2 linked regions of the Rhinolophus ferrumequinum genome follow. The protein of the gene in region 1 purifies or fractionates together with the protein of each later gene. This does not show direct contact. Links are inferred from orthologs where the notes say so. Each region holds a gene or a part of one and is shown on either strand. Other genes may lie near its edges.

Region 1 (7,516 bases):
GGGCCAATGCTACACCCAACAGCCCCACCCATCGCCACCAGGGAGATAGGGTCCAAGCCTCCCTGCTGCCTGCCTTCCCCAGAGCCCAGCCAGGCCGACCTGACCACGTGCTCCCGTCCCAGGTCCCTCCAGTACCCTCTGTAGAGTGATTTCTCTTCCACCAAGTGGTCAACTCCACTCAGCTCCAGGGCCCTGAGTCCCAAGGCTGCACCCCTTCTTGTCTGCCTGACCTTGGACAAAAGATCCACCCCTCTACGCCTCAGTTCCCCCAATGGCAAAACAAGTTTATAAAATGAGTCCAGTGGCTGATAACATAGCAGGCACCCAGTAACTGAGTGTCATTCTTTGGCCTGAGTCCGGTAATGCCAACTTCTTTATTTCTTTTTACTTTTTAAAAATTGAGATATAATTCACATACCATAAAATTCACCTAAAATGTGTACAGTTAAGTGGTTTTTAATATATTCATACAATTGTGCAAAAAACATCACTATCTAATTCCAGAATATTTTCATCACCCCAAAAAGAAACCCCGACTAAGTAGCAGTCACTTTCCCTCCTCCCAGCCCCTAACAACCACTAATCTCTCTGTCTCTGTGGATTTGCCTGTTCTGGACATTTCATATAAGTGGAATACACCATATATGGCCTTTTGTGCCTGGCTTCTTTCACTCAGCATAATGTTTTCAAGGTTCATCCATGTAGTAGTATATATCAGCACTTCATTTCTTTTTATGGCTGCATAATATTCCACTGTACGGATAAATCTCGTTTGGTTTATCTTTCCATCAGCTGATGGACATTTGGGCTGTTTCCACTTTTTGGTGATTCTGAGAATACTGCTAAGATCACTTGTGTATACGTTTTTATGTGGACATGTTTTCATTTCTCTTGGGTAGACATCTAGGAGTGGACTTGTTGGGTTCTACGTGTAACTTTTCCAGGAACTGCTAAACTGTTTTCCAAAGCATCTGCTGCTTCCTAAGTGACTTGACTGCTTAGTGCCTCAGTTTATCCACCTAAAAAATAGGGCCATATAAGGGTGTGATGAGGAACAAACAACATCTGAGAAGTACCCAGAGTAGTGCCTGGTTCAGATAATACACAGTGTCCACTATGATTACTAGGAAAATTGTTTGTATGATTCTAAAATGCCAGGTCAACCGTCACAGGGCTACTAAGAAAACTGAAGGAGTTAATGCCAGGAGTGCTTGCTTAGCAGGGTGCCTACTACCTATCAAGCATTCAATAAAATTAGCTATTATTATGATTGAGGGACATTAAGAACACAAACTCTAGAGTCTGAATGAATCTTGGCACTGCTCACTGTGTTCATGGGAAGCCACTTAACCTTTCTGGACCTTAGTTTCCCCTTCTGTATAACAGACATAATGAGAGTCCTTCCCTCATAAGACCGTTGCACAGCTTAATAAACATAAGGGGTGTAGTATAGTGACTAGCCCATACTAAGTGACATATACTCGTTAGTATTAGTTCTTCGTATTATAATTCATCATCATTTGACTTTGAGAAAATCATGGCCCAGCTAGGAAGGCTGCCTTTGAGCCCAGTTCTGGTTGAGACAGGCATGCTTTATGCCCATTTTATAGATGAAGAAACTGAGGCTCAGAGAAGAAGTCTCACAGTCAGCAAGCAGAGCTGGGAGTCCAATGGCTTTGTTCTGAACCCCCTTACCCCTGCCTTGTGGGAGTCTCCACCCTTTCATGAAAGACCATTCTCTTTCCTAAGCCTTTCTCCATATACTCTCTCCCCTAACCCCAACCAATCAAGCTGGCTGGGAACAGGATATTGCACTTTCCTTCCAGAATCCCTTCTGCTGAGGCTAGGGAAAACCACTTCCTAGCAGGGCAGGGGTGCTGGTCAGGAAGGGAAAGGGCTTGGGGTGGAGGTGGGTGGGACCCACCTCAGGCAGCCACAGCCTAGGGGTAGAGCCGGGATATATGGGCATACAGGAAGGAGACCAGGAAGCAAACCTATTGGAGCTGAGGCAAAGCTGTTCTGACACCACCCCCCATTCATCTCTTTTTCCCTACTTCCTGCCCAAAGAAATCCTTTCTTATGGTTCAAAAGCCATACCCGGGGACGGGTGCTAAATCCAATGGCCCGTCCTTGCTCCACAAACGCCATCTCTCATTTCCATGCCTAATCCGACCCCCCCAACTCAGCTCTCCTTGGAAAGACCTGTTCCATTGCGCCCCATTCATTTCTAGTATCCACTCCCTACCTCCAAGCCTTCTTCCCCCTTTGCAGCACTTTCCCCGACTCTAAACCCATTCCCTACAGTTGTCTACTTCCCGTCTCCACTGTCCAGTCTCTTCCCCTGGGATTATCTCTCATCAGCAGTATCTCGCTCGTTTTCAACACCCCCTCTCCCGCCTGTAATGCCAGCTTCCTGCCTCTAGAGACCCCTTCTCTCTATCCCTATGTCTCTTATTCTTCTCCCACGCTCCTGCTACACTCCTAGAGAGCCCTCATCTCAGGACACCTCCATCCCACCTCCAATTCCTTCTCCCCACCTCCGAGACCCTGCTTTGTCAGTTGCCTCCGTTTTCAAAGCCCCCCAATCATCACCAATGTCCTCCCACCCGCACAACCCTCTCCCCTTGACACCTGATCTCAATGTCCCTAGCCTCCAGTCTCGGGTACACCCCCCCGCGCCCAGAATTACCATTCAGTTCCCCCCTTTCTGGCCTGTGACCGGTCCCAATCCCGAGAGCCCGCGCCCGGCCCAGACCATTGCCACAGCAGCGGGGGGCGACTGTCAGTACCCAGCCGAGCCTCCAGTATCTGCACGTGGACCCACCCTCCTCCTGTCCCCAGCGTGAGCGCGGCCCCGTTACCATGGCGACCCCCGTCCGGACCCCAGCTGGCCCGGTCCCGCGGCGACTGGGCGGCTCCGGCTCTGGAAGCAGTTGGAGGACCCAGGGCTAGAGCGGACTTCCGGCAGAGGAACCCTCTTGCCCTATCGCGCACTTCCCGCTGGGAATTGTAGTCCCAAGAATGGGTTTGCTCGTTCGGGCGGCAGGCCAGTGGAAGACACGATCATTCTTCCAACATGCTGGCGCGCTCCTGTCCGTTTCCCACCAGACGGGTCATGCTCCAAATGCATGCCGGGAGTTGTCGGTGCACTTCTTCAGAAGACTACAATTCCCGAAATGCACGTTGGGCGTTACATTCTGGGAAATGTAGTTCTAGTAGACCCTTCCTTCCCCCGCCCCCCGCCCCCGCACCACTTTCAAGGAAAGAAGGGCATGCTGGGAATAGTAGTTTTAAATAAGAAACTGCGTTTGGGGGAGCTAGAAATGTAACTGTCTTTCGGTGCTCACTTAGTGCTTTGTTTAAAATACCTTGAGTGTTTCTCTGTGGAAGACGGACAGTAGCATATGAGCATTTTGGGAGTCAGAAGTCACACCCTGTTATTTCCGCAATGTCCTACAGGTACACAAATCAGCCCTATCCAGTGTAGGAGGGGATATGAATACCAGGTTAGAATCATTGCAGTCTATCCTGAAACCTGACTACTACAATTGCTTATAGCGGAGGCACCTAGTCTAGGTGAAGACTTAGGGACAAACCTCCCAGAGGGAGTGGCATTTGAGCCGAGATCCGAAGATGAGTGGAAATTAACCAAGCAATGATTATCGTAGGTGGGGGCTGGGGAAGGCAAGGCAGGCAGAGTGCTCAAGCAGGGGCACAGACTTTGTCTCTGCCCCCAGGAATCTCACAGCCTGGGTGGTTGGAGCCTGAGGTGACATTCCACAGAAATAGACGGAAAGGACTAGTCCCAGCACTTTAGTATGAGTATGGACCCTGGAAAGATTCTCTCCTTTGCCATGTCATTACAGCATGCTTGTTATAGGGAAAAATTGGAAAGAGACAAAATATGCATCAATAGAGGAAAACTCAATCACATGCAGTCACATAAAATATTATGCAACGAGAGTTACGATGAGTGAGCAAGATCTCTGTGCATTGACTTGGACGATCCCTAGGACATGTTGTTGAAGAAACAAAGGGAGATGCAGAGTGACACGTATACAGTGTGTCATTTGATTTTTCTTTTTATTTATCTCTCCAACTTTTTGCATAGAAAGTTTTCATATCTACAAAAAGTTGTAGTATTAGCACAATGAACTCCAATGTATTATTCATCTTGATTCACTAATTGTTGATATCTTGCCACATTTACTCTCTCTATATTTATTTGAACCATTTTAAGTGAGTTGCAAATATCATGCTATTTCATCCCAAAAGGCTTCATGCTTCAACATTCCTCTTAAGAACAAAGACGTCTCCTCCATAAACATACAATGATACATTCAGGAAATTTAAATAGTAATACTACACTGGCAGATCTTGCTCTGTAGGATCAGCCCCTGCCAACAGCTCTTCCACTATAGTCAAGGCCAATCCTCATAATCAGTGAGCCTAAGAATCAGTCCCTCACATTGATGTGCAATTATCAACCAAGGCTCAACTACACGAGGAGGGCACACACAACCCAAACAAGGGACTCACCTGGAGTGCGTGGCTCAGATCACCAGAAAGACTGTGGCACTGAACTCCACAGCACACCTACTACATAAGGCCACTCTACTAAGATTGGAAGATGTAACAGCCCTACCTAATACATAGAAACAAACACAGGGAGGCAGCCAAAATGGGGAGACAAAGAAACATGTCCCAACAAAAGAACAGAACAAAGCTCCAGCAAAAGAACTAAGTGAAACGGAGATAAGCAATCTATCAGACGCAGAGTTCCAACACTGGTTATAAGAATGCTCAGTGATCTCATAAAAATGAGATGGAAACCATAAAAAAGAACAAACAGTCAGAAATAAAGGATACAATAATGGAAACAAAGACTATATTACAGGGAATCAACAGTAGATTAGATGAAGTAGAGGATCCAACCAGCAATGTAGAAGATAAGGTAGCAGAAAACACCCAACCAGAACAGGAAAAGAAAAAAGAACCCAAACAATTGAGGAGAGGTTAAGGGGCCTCTAGGACAATATCAAGTGTACCAACAGTCACATTATAGGGGTACCAGAAGGAGAAGTGAGACAGCAAGGAATTGAAAACCTATTTGAAGAAATAATGACAGAAAACTTCCCTAACCTGGTGAAGGAAATGGACATATAAGCCCAGGAAGCACAGAGAGTCACAAACAAGATAATCCAAAGAGGCCAACACCGTGACACATCATAATTAAAATGCCAAAGATTGAAAACAAAGAGAGAATCTTAAAGCAGCAAGAGAAAAGCAGTTAATTACCTATAAGGGAGCCCCCCATAAGACTGTCAAGCTGATTTCTCAACAGAAACTTTGCAGGCAAGAAGGGAGTGGCAGAAAAATACTCCAAGTGATGAAAAAGCAACAACATACAACCAAGATTGTTTCTACCCAGCAAAGGCTGTCATTTCGAATTGAGGGACAGATAAGGAGCTCCCCAGAGAAGAAAGAAACTGAAGGAGGTCATCACCACCAAACCAGTATTACAAGGAATCTTAGAGGGACTTTTTTATGATGGGAGAGGGGTTAAGGACAGGTGAAAGGGGAAGGGATTAAGAAGTACAATGGGTTGTTATACAGTAGTCATGGCGATGTAGGGTATAGCATAAGGAATATAGTTAACAATACTGTAATAACTAGGTATGGCATCAGATAGGCACTAGATCTGTCAGGGGTGATAGATGGGAATGGGGTTGGGGGCAGGGTGAAGAAGGTGAAGGCACTAAGAAATACAAATTGGTAGTTAATACAGTATGGGGAATATAATCAACAATGTTGCAAAGATCATGTAAGGTGTCAGATGGGCACTGGACTTATCAGGGGATCGCGTCATAGACTATGTAGATGCCTGACCAATGCGCTATACACCTGAAGCTGAAGTAGGATAATATGAATGTCAACTATAACTAAATATATAGGTATATATAGTCACAGGATGTGGAGTACAACATAGAGAAGAAAGTCGATGGTATTATAACAGCTATATAAGATGTCAGAGGGGTAGTAGCTTGGAAGGTGGGTTATCACTTTATGAGGGGTTTAAATGTCTAACTATTATGTTGCTTTGTACGCCTGAAACTAATAAAAAAATCAGTACAAATTGGTAGTTACAAAATAGTCACAGGTATGTAAAGTACAGCAATAGAGAATATGGTCAATAATGTCTCAACAACTATGTATATTGCCAGGTGGGTACTAGACTAATCGAGGGATCATTGCATAAGCTATATAAATGTTTAACATTCAGGTGCTACACACCTGAAACTAATATAAAATAATATTGAGTATCAACTGTAATTGACATAAATAAGCACTTTTTTAAAAGGCGAAAAATATTAATACTACACTACTATCTAATATAGGTCCATATAAAAATATCCCTGATCATCTCAGTAATATTCCTTATAGATTTTTTTTTCTGTTCCAGGATCTGGAACAATTGGTACACAAATCTGATTTCTGTTCAATTGAATCCAGAATCATAGGTTGTATTTAACTGTCACGTTCCTTTAGCCTTATTAAATCTGGAACAGTTCCCTTGTCTTGTTAGTATTTCAAGAGGTTGGCATTTTCTAAGAGTCCATGTTTCTACATGATTAGATCCAGGTTTGACATTTTTTGTCAGGAATATCACATAAGTGATGCCGTGTCCTTCTTAGAGTATCCGGCTGGGGGCATGTGATGTTGGTTGGTTTCATCCTTGGTGATATTAAGTTTGACCACTTAATTTCTGTCATATATTTCTTTTCTTTTAAATTAAAGTTTATTGTGGTGACAATTGTTAGTAAAGAGTATATTTCTTTTAAAAGTTATGTGATCCCAAAAGCATAAGCAACAACAAAAAATGTAAATTGAACATAAAAATTAAAAACTTTAATTTTGCATCAAAGGACTATCAAGAGTGACAAGACAAGCCAGAGAATGGGAGAAAATCTTTGCAAACACATATCTGGTAAGGGATTATTATCCAGAGTACATGAAGAACTACAACTCAACAACTCATCAAAAAATGGGCAAAGAGAGGCGGCCGGATGGCTCAGTTGGTTAGAGCGCAGAGCTCATCACACCCAGGTCGCCGGTTTGATTCCCACATGGGCCAGTGAGCTACACCTTCCACAACTAGAGTGAAATGACTTGACTTGGAGCTGAGCTGCGCCCTCCACAATTAGATTGAAAAACAAAACAAAACAACAACTTGACTTGGAGCTGATAGGTCCTGGAAAAACACACTGCTCCCCATATTCCCCAACAAAAATTAAAAAAAAAATTTGGCAAGAGGGGCAGCCGGTTAACTCAGTTGGTTAGAGCACGGTGCTCTTAACAAGGTTGCTGGTTAGATTATCACATAGGCCAGTGAGCTGTGCCCTCCACAACTAGATTGAAAACAATGACTTGACATGGAGCTAATGAGTCCTGGAAAAACACACTGTTCTCCAATAAAAATTAAAAAAAAAAAAGACAGGCAATATCAAGTGCTTGG
Region 2 (7,411 bases), on another chromosome or scaffold:
GGTATAATATAATATAACATAAGACCGGGACTTATATCCATTTTTGCTCCAAAAGACGCCTTAGAGCTGACTGGCTGGCTGGGTCTTATTTTTGGGGAAACACGTACCTTCTTCCTTGCACCACACAAAATTTAACTTCATTGGATCATAAGTCTAAATGTAAGACCTAAAACTATAAAACCCACAAAAGAAAACATAGAAGTAAATCTTTGTGACTTTGGTCTGGGAAAGATTTCTTAGATTACAAAAGCGTAAGTGATAACAGAAAAATTAGATAAACTGGACTTCAACAAGAGTTCATCAAAATTAAAAACGTCTGTGCTTCAAAGGACACCATCAAGAAAATGAAAAAGACAACCCAAACAATGGGAGAAAATATTTACAAAATCACATATCTAGTAAGAGACATGTACCCAGAATATAAAAAGAACTCCTACAACTCAGTAAGAAAAAGACAACCCAATCTAAACATGGGCAATAGATCTGAACAGACATTTCGCCAAAGAAAATACATAAATGGACAACAAGCACATGAGAAGATGCCCAACATCATTAGCCACCGGAGAAATGCAAATCAAAACCACAGTGAGACACTACTTCATACTGACCTATTGTAATAAAAAATACAGATAACAAGTGTTGTCCAGCACGTGAAAAAATTGGAACCCTCAGACATTGCTAGTGGGATTGTAAAATGGTGCAGCCACTTAGAAAACAGTTTGGCAGTTCCTTGAATGTAAAACAGAGAATTACCATATGACCCAGCAATTCCAATCCCAAAATAAATTAAGACATATGTCCATACAAAAACCTGTACAAACATGTTCATAGCCGCATTACTCATCATGGCCAAAAACTGGAAACAACTTAAATATCCATCACTAGTGATGGATAAATAAACTGTGTTATATACATACAATGGAATATTATTTGGCCATAAAATGGAAGTACTGATGATACATCGGATGAACTGGATGAAGCTTGGATGAACCTTGGAAACATGCTAAGTGAAAGAAGCCAGTCCCAAAGGTCCACATATATGCGTATGATCCCATGTGATATGTCCGGAACAGATAAATCTACAGAGGCAGAAATGTACAGATTAGCTGCCAAGGGCTGCGGTAGGAGAGAAATGGGGAGTGACTGCTAATGGATACAGGGATTCTTTCCGAGGTGATAAAATTGTTCTAAAATTGATTGTCGTGATGTATGCAAAACTCTATGAACATACAAACCATCCTTGAACTGTATGCTTAAATGGGTGTACTGTGTATGTGAACTGTACCTCAATAAAGCTGTTTTATAAAAAAAATTTAATGTCGCTTGTGGAAAACAAGGAACTTTCAAGACTATGAACTGATCTGATTACTAAGCAAGTTCTTGCTTGAGACACTTAGAAATTTTCTAAGACAGATTACTCCTTTAAATATTTCTAAATCTTAACTAAAATAGAATTGTAGTACTTACAACTGTCAGGACATAAAATGAGATTCACCCAAGATACCTGAGTAAACATATTACTTTCCTCTACATGGCTGAACTGTACTTCCCATGACAACAAACAATAACTGCAGCAAAACACTCCACAGGGAGACTGAGAAGTCAATCTCCAAGAAGAATCTAATACTAATACTGAGTTAAGAAGGGGGTGTGGAAAGAATGAGGAAGGGGAAGCAGCACGGGGATAAGGGGGAAGTCTCGATGCATTTAAGCCCCAGGAATCCAGTTACATTAAATTCAACTTTTATACGCTTTGTGAACAGGCCCAGAGGCAAAGTCCTGGGCGCAGACCAACGGGCCGAGCTGCGAAGCCGAGAGGAAGTGCTGATCCGACCCCGGCCCGCACGGGATTTCGTGTGGAAATGGGGGAGAAGGGGGCTGGCGTGCGGGAAAGAGGCGAGCCCCCGCACCCAGCGGGGGCCGACGCTCGCCTGCAGCGCGCAGCCGGGGGCGGCCGCGCGGCCGGCCCGTCGTGCGCGCTCGAGCCGCGGAGCACGCCCGGCGCCTGGAGCTCCGGCGGGGCCGGGTCCTGTCTCCCGCCCCATCCGGCGCTTTGTCCCAGCGCGGGCGGCGGGCGGCCCCTCGGCGTCCTCAGGGTGGGCTGCGCGGCGGCGATGACAGCCCCCGGCCCCAGCAAGGACTGCGAGCCTGCGAGTCCCGGCGGCCGCCGATCCGTCGCCCGGCTTCATCCAGGCGGGACCCAGCAGGCGGCGGTCCGAGGACGCTCTTCTTGCCCGCGGATCTGCCGCCGCCGCCGCCGCCGCCACCGCCCGAAGCGCACGCAGGCCGAGGTCAGGCGCAGAAAGCCTCAGACTCCGAAACCCACACTATTTCCAGCATCCCTCTCTTACCCAAAAATTCTCGACGAAATGCGCCATGACCATCGTGCCGCTGTCGCCGCCGCCGCGCCGGGTTCTGCGTCCGCGCCCGCCCGCCGCTGTGTAAACACCGGCCCGGCCCCCACGGCGCCCCCGCCTTTCACCGCCGCCGCCTTCTTCCCGGAGACCAGCCCGCACCCTTCAGGGCGCATGCGCCCCCTAGCGGCCGCCGCCGCGGGACGAGCACTTCGAGGACACCGCCTGGTGCGCGCATGCGCGCCGGGCCCCGTTCCCGGGTTTCAGTCGCCTGCTCTCTCTCTTTCTCTCTCCCCAGCGCGGGCGCGGCTAGGTTGAGTATTCTCTTGGGAATGGTGGAGAACCGGGTCCCTGAGGAGTCACTCGGGAGGCCGTCCGCACCCTTTGTGGCGCGATGGGTACTGGCTCAGGGACCGGGCTAAGACAGGGGCCGGCCAGCGGCGGGGGAGCCGGTAGCCTGGCTGCTCGCTCCCTTCCTCGTCACAAGGCTCGCTTCCCCCGCCTTCTAGGAGTCGGATGGGACCCAAGTCTGGGCAAGCTGGGATGGGGGAAACTTGGCCTCTAGCCACCTGGAGGACACTCAGAAACCTTTGGTCAACAGGGTGCCTTTCTTTGACAAGGAACTAAGAACCAAAACAAAACTTTCCAAGGCCTGAAAAGGAGGAAACGCCCAGTGTCGCCAGAGAGTCACTGGAGCTGCACGAGACCCAGGCACCGAATCCGTGACCTCTAACAACACGCCCCAAGCAAACCAGCCAGGGTGGCCTACTGCAGGAACGTGACCCAAAACGAACGAATTTCCCTGACCCAGGCAATTAAAAAAAAATTTTTTTTTCAGGACTTGTACATGTGAGTCCGTGGTTCTCTTAGCAACGTGTACATTTTGGAAAAAGAAACAAGTTTAAACACGCCTCGGCATAACCGAAAAATCAAATCCCCTTCTCCTTGCTTTCCAAAGGTTAAGGGAAAAAACTTCCTGTAGAGAGGTCTCAAGTTCACTGTCACCAGATCTGCTACTAGGTCCAAATCTGCAGCTCTTGAAGCCAAGCCCCACAAACAGATTTACTGTAGTTTTAACTGTACAAACACATCACATCTTCAGATTTTGTGGCTTCAAACATAATGAACACAACACTATTTCTTCATTGGAAATTACTCATACTTTCATTCTCAAAAGTAAAAACCACACAGTGGCTTACACTGGATGAAACTAAAGTATTTGTTGAATTGGGAACAATTGGGTAATGGTATTGTCATATCTTTTTAAGAATATTTTTTAGAAATATATAGGATATAATGATAAGACATCTAGAATTTGCTTTAAAATAATTCACTGAGGGAGGGGGTGTGAATACGGGTAGCTGAAACAAGGTTAACCATCAGTTGATAATTGCTGCAGCTAGGTAATGGAAACATGGTGGTTCACTATACTCTTCTCTTTTGGTATATGTTTGCTATTCCCTTTCTTTAGAAAGTCCTCATAAAAGTGTCATTGACACCTAGTTTTGGGGGAAGTCATACTTAGAACTATGCTACAATTCTTTAAGCCATTAGGCTAGCGCTATCTTTCTTGATGCTATAGAAATTCCAGAAAAAATACAGCCATCTAGATCTCCCTGCAAATAAGCTTGGCATTAAATTCCTATCACTAAGCTCTAAACCCCTTAGACCTAAGGAGATGCCCCAATCCTGGATCCCATACTTTGAAGGACCTTACGTATCACAAACACTAATTTATTAAAAACCCATGGCTGCCTCTGCTGCTCCTGTTCTAAGGTTGAACACTGGCCCACAACCATAAATACCCTCTCCCATGACCAACATTATTCAGCCCCAGGAAAACATTTCTTATCTCTTGCCCTATGTCTTCAAAACAAAAAGTGGACTCCAACTGCAGTGAAAACTTGTGGGTAGTATAGCTGCCCATATCAGAGATAAACTGCTGTGGAGTTCAGACAACTTGAGCAGCAGAAGTACTTAAGAAAGAAAGAAGACAGGCAATTAACTTGTCCAATTGTTCCTCTCAGCTTGAATGCAGTAGATCGTTTGGTAACAAAGTGGTGTCAAGCACAGACTTTCCTTCTCTTAGTGTTCCAATTTGTGATTCCAACACAATTTAGCATAATACATATTCAATACTTGCACGGGGTACACTGGTCTCCATTTATACTCTTATCTCTGGTTCTCATAAATATTATAGGCAGGCCTGCCATAAAGATAAGTATCCTATATATTTCGGGTATTTACAAGGTTCATTGGGGCCAAAACACCATAGGCTATAATTGCCTGGTATTTAAACTGTGGAACTTTACAGTAAATAGTGATTACGGTGACTAAATTTCAGACAAGATGGTGTAGTAGAAGAAGAATGTGGGTGGTATCAGCCACCTTCAGTTCTCTCAAGTGAGGTTTGCAGGGATGCACACACACTCTGGTAGAGCATAGATAAGGTCCTGAGTGGGGAGCTCACTCATATGACCTTAAAGTACTTGTGCCACACACACTTACCTATGCTTATCCCAAAAGATTCTGAAATTATTAAAAAACTGGCATAGATAGCAACAGCGTTCCACTCACTGCCTATAATACCTGGCACTTCATAGTCACTTTGTAAGTGTTCAGTGAAAGAATAGATGAGTGATTGAGCCTATGATAGAAACGTGAAGGTGCATGAGACTTTGAATAGGCAATAACTCCATTCTTCTTTTACTCATACTTTTTTTTCCATACCACAGACACTCTTTTATTTACTCATCCTCTTTATTGGTGCTAGATCTTAGAATCTATTAAAAATGTCATTATTTAAGTTCTATTTGATTTAATTTTCTCTCATTACTTTAAATATTTTCAAAAGAGTCCTTTGGGGCTTGGGTATACTTCTTAAAGGATAAGCTACCTTTTGTAATAAAAATAACATAAAATTGAAATAATAATATTCAAGATTGGCTATGGAAGGGACCCCTAAACAATTTGGCTTTCAATTTTTGGGTGCCTCCACCACCAGATTCGTCTTCCTCTTAGGATCTCTCCCTAATTATAACTGCCATCAACATGTTGGCTTCCAAAGGATATTGTTGGTCCCCATAAAACTGTGTCCCAAATATGTACATTATAGCCCAAAGCATACCTGCACTGCTCAAAAATAACTTGATAAATAGTAGCAAATGAGAGAGGAAAAATTAACACAAATAACCTAAATCTAAATTCCCTCGTTGAAAAAATATGGTTTAGCTCCAAGATTTGAGGGCAAGGCACCCAGAGAACTTCCCCCTTTTCATTCCTTAGTTTGATCTCCCATTTCCAATCCTGGGTTCACAGCTCACAGCACATTAATGAACATCTAGTTAGCAAGGTCATTTCCTCATTACTTCATATAAAACTAGTTCTATTCTAGAAGAGTTGATGATAAAGTAAAACTCATTTTCCCATTTATTTTCAATATGATTTTGCGAATGTATTTCCACTTGTTTCCAAGATGAGGGTAGCAGAGGAGAAGCTCCTATAAATCTCTCTTGTTTCCTGCTGATTTCTTTAAGGGGCAGCATCCTGTGTCAGATGCAGTATTCCTTCTCTGTTCTCATCTTGCACTTGACAATAACAAGTGGCAAAGAGCTAAGCTCCATTAAAAGGCGGAAGAGAAACAGGCAGATCCCTGAAGTCTGGTGTCCTCTTGTTTTTCCCAACTCAATAGCTGCATACTGACAGCAAACACTTTATGCAAAACAGAAAGAAAAGCAGAAGCTTAGCAGATGGTACCCAGGCAGGCAGCTATATGAGGGCAAGGAGGTAGAAACAAGTTAATCAAACTGCAGGATGGAGCTAAATACCACCTTCCACATACTCTTCTCGGTTCACAGCAACTTGCTAGGCACACCTTTCTTCTCTGTTGAGGGAGTGACTGTATGCTCCCTGATGGGGCATCATCTCTTCCTCCAGAATGAGATGTACTTTCCCAGGGACTCTCTTCTCTTCCCTTTCTGTCTGTGGAAGAAGCACAAAAACACCTGACAGATTGTTCACGGGGTTACAGTGCTGGTGACCACAGGGAACCCAACAGGGGATTCAAAAATAAGAAAAGAGAAATTACTAAATTATAGAAAGTCATGAAGGTGATGATAATGTAAAAACATATAAAATGTTTTTCATTAATGTTAAGTGGAAAGGTAGAAGATGACATGGATAATACATTAAAAATGCATGTAAATAGACAAAAATCAAAAGAAAACATGAAAAAATATATGAGGTATCAAAAAATATAGTGAATATTTAAATTTAAAAAAGTATTACAGTAAAAGACGCATTGCCATTATTCCCCCTCAAAATACTCCCCCTCATTTGAAACACACTTATCTCATCATTCTTGCCACTTTCTGAAGCAGTTCTTGATGTCCTCTTTCATGAGTATCTTTAGTTGTGCTGTTGTGTCTGTCTTGATGTCCTGAATTGATTGAAATGTTTACCTTTCATGGTCATTTTGACTTTGGGGGAGAGCCAGAAGTCACACAGTGCCAGACCCGGTGCTAAGGTAGATGAGGACGCATCATAGTGTTTTTATTTGATAGAAATTGCCGTACCAGAAGCGATGTGTGACATGGAGTGTTGTCATGATGGAGGATGAAACTGTTTGCCCATTTCATGTTAATGCATTGCTCATGATCCATGATTTACAGCACACTTTAAAACTCATCTTCTCTCAACCATAGCTCACACCCAACTGACTGCGCCGAACAAGTTGAAACTTGTCACTCTGTTGATAAGGTTCTTTGTGCAGCTTCCTGTATTAAAGATCTCTGCCTTTCCGTTGGATGGCACTCGACAGCAGCATTCACCTAATGTTTTGATCACACCTTGTATATGTGTTAGGGTGATAAGATTATGACAATTGTTAAACATTTAAATTTTATTTTAACGTTATAGCATACTAAGATTTAAAAAGCAATCACTGCTCTTTGTTTTTGTTTGAATATAAATGTAACTAGCCCTAATCTTCTTTAAGTCTCTCATTAACTCTCTCTTTTTCATTTGTTCAGGCAATAGACAATTATTGAGCACTTAAT

What was found. The genes of interacting proteins can lie anywhere in the genome.
Region 2: the proteins of AP2S1 (region 1) and FCHO2 purify together in Homo sapiens (co-immunoprecipitation; 3 studies listed by BioGRID and IntAct, counting the BioPlex papers as one, with this or other methods). This does not show direct contact. The link is inferred for Rhinolophus ferrumequinum from reciprocal best matches to the Homo sapiens genes AP2S1 and FCHO2.

Annotation. Positions count from the first base shown.
Region 1 is NC_046298.1:42,935,627-42,943,142, forward strand, and holds the start of AP2S1 (AP-2 complex subunit sigma), read right to left. Parts: upstream 3,061-7,516; 5' UTR 2,865-3,060; coding exon 2,862-2,864; intron 1-2,861. UniProt on the Homo sapiens protein: Component of the adaptor protein complex 2 (AP-2). Adaptor protein complexes function in protein transport via transport vesicles in different membrane traffic pathways.
Region 2 is NC_046290.1:46,140,988-46,148,398, reverse strand, and holds the start of FCHO2 (F-BAR domain only protein 2), read right to left. Parts: upstream 3,071-7,411; 5' UTR 2,385-3,070; coding exon 2,352-2,384; intron 1-2,351. UniProt on the Homo sapiens protein: Functions in an early step of clathrin-mediated endocytosis. Has both a membrane binding/bending activity and the ability to recruit proteins essential to the formation of functional clathrin-coated pits.